2 linked regions of the Oryctolagus cuniculus genome follow. The protein of the gene in region 2 purifies or fractionates together with the protein of the main gene of each other region. This does not show direct contact. Links are inferred from orthologs where the notes say so. Each region holds a gene or a part of one and is shown on either strand. Other genes may lie near its edges.

The links. Proteins that work in one complex are often made in the same cells at the same time.
Region 1: the proteins of EFTUD2 (region 2) and DNAJC17 purify together in Homo sapiens (affinity purification with mass spectrometry; 4 studies listed by BioGRID and IntAct, with this or other methods). This does not show direct contact. The link is inferred for Oryctolagus cuniculus from reciprocal best matches to the Homo sapiens genes EFTUD2 and DNAJC17.

The regions. Positions count from the first base shown.
Region 1 is NC_091443.1:63,918,189-63,921,834, reverse strand, and holds part of DNAJC17 (dnaJ homolog subfamily C member 17), read left to right. Parts: intron 1-222; coding exon 223-297; intron 298-1,511; coding exon 1,512-1,592; intron 1,593-2,042; coding exon 2,043-2,153; intron 2,154-3,646. UniProt on the Homo sapiens protein: May negatively affect PAX8-induced thyroglobulin/TG transcription.
Region 2 is NC_091448.1:18,114,996-18,118,641, forward strand, and holds part of EFTUD2 (116 kDa U5 small nuclear ribonucleoprotein component), read right to left. Parts: intron 2,857-3,646; coding exon 2,690-2,856; intron 1,222-2,689; coding exon 1,097-1,221; intron 1-1,096. UniProt on the Homo sapiens protein: Required for pre-mRNA splicing as component of the spliceosome, including pre-catalytic, catalytic and post-catalytic spliceosomal complexes. Component of the U5 snRNP and the U4/U6-U5 tri-snRNP complex, a building block of the spliceosome.

The DNA.
Region 1 (3,646 bases), on a different chromosome or scaffold from region 2:
CCCACAAAAGGCAAGGGCACCGCACACCCCGGAGCCCTCTGCGGGTGCGCCTCACAGCGCAGGAAGCGCTCTGGAGCGGGTGCCTCTTGGTTTTCAAGGGGACAGCCGGGTTTGGGTGGTGCGTCCCAGGTCACCGGTGCTCGGAGATGAGGAAGTGCCTGCTCACTTCTGGGGTCTGGTGCTGGTCAGCGCGGGTGGTGTTGAATGGTGCTGTCTTTTCAGCTAAAGTGGAAGTGCAAGGAGGACGGGTCCCAAGGTGGCTACTCCGAAGATGTCCTCCTGCGGCTTTTGCAAAAGGTCTGCCCCAGTGACTTCCCTTCTTCCCGTCCCCAGTCTGCATCTCCGCCCAACCCCAGGGTCCTCTGTGCCCGAACTCTCCTTAACATCTCTACCGGCTGTGTGTGTGTGTGTGTGTGTTTTTTTTTTTTCTGGGAGCGGGGCTGTCTTGGCTGATTTCTCCCAGGTCCTGGTCTTCCTTTCACTTGTGTTGCCACGTGTGTCTCTCCTCTACCTCTGTCTGGCCCCTACCTCCCTTAGAAGCACAGGGCGTGGCTGAGTGTGTGTGTGGGGGGTGTCTGGCACAGGGCCCTCCCCCCACCCTTCCCCTGCTGTAGCCCACTGAGGCATCCATTGCCAGGACGCCAGTCCAGGTCGCCAATCTTGCCTTAGCTCTACTTTGCTGTCCTGTATTACTTGAGGAAAAAGTCTGTCTGGGACAGGTGTTCAGTGTAGCAGTTAAGGTGCCTGCACCCCGCGTCAGGGTACCTGGTTCAGTCCACTGCTCTAGCTCCTGATTCCAGCTTCCTGGTAATGTGGACTCTGGGAGGCAGCAGCTGAGGGCTCAAGCAATTGGGTCCCTGGCACTCAGGTGGGAGACCTGGATTGAGCTCCTGGTTCCTGGCTTTGGCCTCAACTTGGCCCAACCAATGTGGCGTTTAGAGTGGACCAGTGGAAGGAAGCTTTCCCTCCCTGTCTCTCAAATTTAAGAAAGGGAAGGAAGGAAAGGAAGGAAAGGAAAGAAGGAAGGGAGTTTAAAAACACTCTTTCCTTGGGCGGGCATTGTGGCATGGCAGGTAAAGCTGCCACCAGCGATGCATCCCATATGAGCACTGGTACATGTCCCAGTTGCTCCACTTCCAGTCCAGCTTCCTGCTAGTGGCCTGGGGAAAGCAGTAGAAGACAGCCCTGCCACCCACATGGGAGACCTGGATGACACTGGCTCCTGGTTCCTGGCTCCTGGCTTCGGCCTGGCTCAGCCCTGGCTGTTGCACATCTGGAGAGTGAACCAATAGTTGGAAGATCTCTTTCTCTCTCTTTTCTTCTGTGTGTCTGAGTTTCAAATAAATAAATAAATCTTAAAAAACAAACCAAAAAAAAAACAAACGCGACCTTCCTATTTCTGCTCTGGCCAGCAATGGGGTTATCCGCAGCTACAAGGGCTGTGTGTGCTCCCTGGGCTGGGCTGGGCTAATGGCTGAGCCATGCTTACTGGGCTCCCTTTGTCCCCACAGTATGGTGAGGTTCTCAACCTGGTGCTTTCCAGTAAGAGGGCAGGCACTGCTGTGGTGGAGTTTGCGACTGTCAAGGCTGCGGTGAGTGCCTTGTCATCTAGGGCAGCAGCCCTATCCCACGGGCCCCAAGTTAGGCTGTCCACTCCCAGGGCATCTCTGGGTCTGTACAGAGCCAAGGCTCCCCCGGGGCCCCTGACCCCTAGCACAGCTGGGGGAGTGCTCCGGGATGAAGGGGAGGCCCAGTGACTTTCAGGTTCGGGACAGCTGGCTCCACACCCTCTACCTCACTCTCCAGGTTGGAGGCCCTCACACTGCCTTCCCAGCCTTGTGGTCCTCGCTCCCCCAGATGAGCAGGGCCTCCCCCGTCCCGAGAAGGGTTGGAGCTTCAGCACACCATCATTTTCAGCCTGTTGAGGTTGCCGGCTCTGCTCGCAAGACCAGAATGCTGGTTCCGTTTTTCCTGTGGGCTTGGGGGAGCCGCTCTGTGGCTGATTTGATGATGGCACTAGGACCGGATGCTCTGTTTGGCAGGCGCTGGCTGTGCAGAATGAAGTGGGCCTTATTGATAACCCCCTGAAGATTTCCTGGCTGGAGGGACAGCCCCAGGGCGTTGTGGGCCCTGGCCACCCAGGACTGTCAAAGGTGAGGAGAGAGGCCTCACCCAGCTGGGCCTGCTCGGGTCTTGGGGGTCCTCTTCCTGTTTGGGCTTCTCTGGGGACACTGTCTATCCAGATATAGCCGAGTGGGACTGGTCGGGCCACCAACCCAAGCTGGAGGCCTGTGGTTCTGTTGGCCTCTTTCCCCCCTGAAGGGGGGGGAAAGCCCCCCTGCCTGGGGGCTCTACCCTACCCAGGGTTCTTAGGCTTTGCTTTCCCGCCACTTGGGGCTCCTGGTGGGCTCTCCTCCTCACCCACCCAGAGGGCTCCTGCTGCCTTTGCTTGTGGAGGGAAGCAGCTGGGGCTTGGCTCACCCAGAGCTGCAGGGGAGGGGCAGGTGACCTCGGCAGCTGCGTCCTCTCCCAGCGCTTCAGTTTCCCAGGTGTGAATGTGCACTGGACAGGGGTGACCAGGGCTGTCTCTTCAGAAGCTGCCCTGCTGATGCGGGGCCACCGCCTGCCGTACTCATGAGGGATAGGCCTCCTGGCTGAGGCTAGCTCACTGCCAGCCCTCAGTCCTCAGCTTCCACGAAGGCTCACGTGAGAGCCCCTCCCCTGGCCCTGGCATTTTCCAGTCTGGAGGCAGAAGTGGGGTTGGCAGGGCTTGTGGCCACCCCACCCCCGTCTTGGTGATACCGATTGCTCTGGGGCAAGCTGCAGCCTGGCTCAGCCCTCTCTGGAACAGCCTGGGTGCCTGCGGTCTGCCTCCTCAGCGGGTTCGCAGGGCACTGCTCCCGTGGCCCTCCGCCATGCCACCAGCTCTCCTCCTGCCAGAGCGCTCTGTGAGTGTGCTCAGACCCCGGACAGCGGACCAACAGGAACTGGTTCGAGCCCAACTCGGGACCCAGTTTAGAGACTTCATTCCTACAACTAAGTCCCTGCATTCCACGGCCTCATGGGACACTCCATAGGCTGTGTTAGTTTTATTCTTTGGCTCCTCAAGCCACAAGGGAGGCTTTCAGCTTGGCACCTGGGCCAGGGGAGGAAAGGGGAGGCTATGGATAGGGCCTGTGGAGGCAGCGATGTTGCAGCCTGCCCTCCCCTCTGCCAGGCTCGAAGAGGCCTGGGTGTCAGAACCACATCGCCCCGGCCAGGCCGCGGGGTGAGGCAGAAGCACAACCTACGGCCCTGACCTGGCTGGCAGGCCCATCGTCAGAGGTTCGGGCAGGGCAGAGCTCCCCCAGTCCCGGTGGAGGGTTCTGGAGACCAGCTGTTGCCTCCTCATGGTTGAGTCTACCCCGATTCAGGCTTTTCTCCCAGGAAGGGCATCTGCCACTGTTCAGCTGCATTTCCCAAGAGCTCCATCACCAGTACTTCTGGGAATTCCCCAAAGCACCTGATTACCAACCGTGCCTGTGGCTTTGGCTGCCACTGCCTAGAGCTGCCTTCCGTGGCACTGGGGACTGCTCTGGACAGCTGTGTTGACAGGCTGCTGATCATCTGAGTTATCACTTATGTCACTATTGGCCTGCCTTTGCAT
Region 2 (3,646 bases):
TCTTAGCTTTAGCCTGGGCCAGCTCTTACTGTTGTGGGCATTTAGGGAGCAAACCAGAGGACAGAGGTTTATTTTGGTGTAAAGTATTTTGAAATCCATACATATTTTTTCATAATGTACATGTACCATGAACTTTTAAGATCCCTTATATCAATCTAAGTAATATGATATAATTTACATAAAATAACAGAGGGAATTATAACAAAGTACTAAAATTTGTTATGGTAATGAAGTTAGGTATGAATTTTGATTTTTTTTCAACTAGGCTTTAATATATTTTCTACAATGTGCATATAATTAAATAGCTACATGTTTTTAAAAGGATCCAGGTTTACCCACCCTTTCTCTCATGAGAGCAAGGTGTCCACCTGCAGGGGAGGCAGGCTAACCAATGGGCAAGCAGCAGTGCTGGTGCTCCAGGCTTTACCAACTGGGAGACCCTACAGGGCCTGGCCCCTCAGCTCGGTAAATGGGGTACCAGGGATTCCCCTCGAAGGCAGAATAGCACCTGACACACAACAGACTCTCTGTACGGGGTTCTTGTTGGAATCTGTGGTAACTGGGAGGCACAGGGATAGACAGCCAGGAAGCGGCACGGAGACTGGGGGTCACGGTTGCAGAAACCTGGGAAATCATTCAGCTGGGTCTGTAGCGGAGGCTCGCATGTGCTGACTCCACGTCCAGCCTGAGTTCTCAACCAGGCCTTGCAAATGTGCATGTGCCTAGATCGGGCTGGAGAGTCGCTGGCAGCACACACGGTGAGGGAGAGTCCACTTGTGAGCAGGAGGCCTGGAAGGCCTCTGTACGCATGGGAAACTTGCACTTCTCAGAATCTGTCTCGCTCTAAAGCGTTTATGCTTAAGACAAGCCCCCTGTTCTCCCATTCGCTCCCAGTCACGTTCATCTTACTACTGTTCTGAAGCCACTCAGCCCCTTTTGGTCTGGAGGCCAAAAAGAGGCTCACTTGTAACTATAAAAGGCAGCAAAATGCTCTCCCCAGCAGGACACTGTGATGCGAAGCCACCTCTGAGGCATTCAGGGGAGAGGCACACAGGACTCTGGGGAGGCTGGCAAGACAGTGCCAGGCTGAGCTCACCAAAGGTGTCGGCGTAGATCTTGGCAAAGGAGCCCAGCGTGAAGCAGATGCTGTACTGGGAGCTGGAGAAGCAGACGTTGCCCAGGAGCGGGGAGAGGATCAGGTTCTCGTCAGTGGAATACATGCTGCAACAGACACAGGGTAAGCGTGCCGCAGGCCCTGACCTCTGCCACGGGGGACGGGCAGGGATGCCTACACAGCCACTCGCCAGCCCTCAGGAGGAGCTTGCATAAGACGCTCAGTCTGGCCAACAGCCTGGTCCAAGGAAGTGACATGATGGAGCTGTTCCCTAACTCTCAGTAACAAGCTGGCTTCTCAGAGCCGGGAACGTTCCGCACAACCTTGGAGGAGCTAACCACATCAGACAGACAAGGGCAAATGTGGAGGACAGAGACAAAGACCTTGGAAGACGGGAAATGAATCTAAAGTGATAAGAAATGAATATATTTGAGAGAAATCTCAACTTCACAAACACAAACATAAGAGAAAGAGCGAGAGAGACACAGAGGTAATTTATCCTCTACTCTTCTTTGTCCTGTAGTCTTCGGCTTTCTTTTAAACATGAATGCTAAACCGCAAGCACCTCAAAAGGTCACGAGCATTTGTAAGAAAATCAGCTGTACACAGGGGTCACACCCACAACTCTATCCTAACGGGCACATTATTTTATGGGATCCTCTCACTTGGAAACGAAAGCATTAGCTTATAAAGAACGGCCCCTATCCATCCCACTGCACCCCCCATTCTGCTCCCCAGTGGCAAGCGGCTTCAATCCATTTTATAGCTGCCTGGAGTACTTACCTCCATATCCCTAAATACTGTTTTGCTGCTTTCTGATTTTGAGGTTTCAAACATGCCCTCTTGATTTTCTATCCTGGTAGATCAGGATTTAGTTCCATCCCACCCCCAGCCTTCCTTTTAAAAAGAAGTGCTATTACTTCATCTTTTGGACCCATGACGCTGGGCTGGGCTCCAGCCATTCCCAACCACTCCAGGGATGAGGAGGAGACACTCCCAGTAGGCAGCAGTGCCGCAGGCTGGGGCAGCTGCGGGCAGCGGAGCTGTCACCGGCCCCAGCCGTCAGACAAGCTCCCAGTGGCCGTGTCCTCGCCCACTTAGGGGTCTCAGGAGTCGTTCAGTACATACTTCAGCCTGCAGATAAGACTGGCTTTATTTAATTTCTTGTAACATCCCTCTAGGCAAATATTACCATCATTCCATTTTTTATAGAAATGGAAACTGAGCTTATGTAATTTGCCAGACTCTACAAGAGAGCTTAACTTATTTTCCCTACTTCATGTAGTTGGTACGCAGCTAGGATGAGACCAATCCTAGAGCTCAAGGTATTGCCCATGACAATAAATTAAAGATGCACGAAGGTCACAACTGGCTAAGGCACAGGTACTGAGGTCAAGGTCGTGGAGGCAATCTCTGTAAAGACCTGAGATGCGCCTCCAGTCTTGCCCAACAAGCTCATCCACACACGTCAAGAAGTAAATCAGAGTTGCTCCCAAAGGTATTCAAGGGTAAAATTAAGATTTATAAAAACCAGCGTCCCTGAGGACCGGAAATCCACTCCCAGCAGTTTCATACCTTATTAATCCATTGACCTCATCCACAATGTGGCGCAGCTTGTAATAGGCATCGGTTGGAGGCAGCTTCAGCTCCAGGATCAGCCGGTCAATCTTGTTGATGCACACGGTGACCGCCAGCCTCTCCTGCACCGCGTGCTTGATCAGCCGCTCAGTGTTCAGCATCACCTGAGAAACACAGGCTCTGAAGGTGGTGACACAGCAAAGAGGACAGAAAGTCCAGAGCAGAGCCAAAAGGGCACCGCTTCCAAACATGAAGCAAGAGGGCAAACGAGAACCTGGGGAAACACACTGCTGGGCAGCAGCAGACAGCATCTCGCCAAAGGCAGATGCGGGCACTTTCAGAGGACACCCTGTAGGACTAAGAAATGAATAAACACACTCTCAGTGCTAGAGAAAGGACAAGGCAGGCCAGCAACAACTGTGGTGCTGGATGGGAACTGGGGGATGTTAGGATGGACAAATGATTTTTAAAAAACATTTATGTATACATTTATTTGCTTGTTTTAATTGAAAGGCAGAGGGACTGAGAGAGAGAGAAACAGAGAGCACTTCCATCTACTGATTCCCTTCCCAGATGCCGGCGATAGCCAGGAGCGGAACTCAATCTGAGTCTCCCATGTGGCTGGCAGGGACCCGAGTGCTTGGCCATCACCACTGCCTCCCAGCGTGCACATGCGTAGGTTGTTAAATCAGGAGTGGAGCTAGAACTCAAAGTCAAGCACTCTGAAACAGGTTGCAGGCATCTCAAGCAGTATCTTAACCACATGCCAAATGCCTGCCCGTGGACAAATGATTTTGAATACACACGTGTAGAAATAGTTACATATATCCGTATGCATGTGTGCATGGATATTATCTAGTTGTACTCTGTGAAAGAACCTACAGGCACAGGCAATGTACCCCGGTGGCAATGAGCACACCCAGATACTTGTTTCTAAATACCAGTCTCCATTAT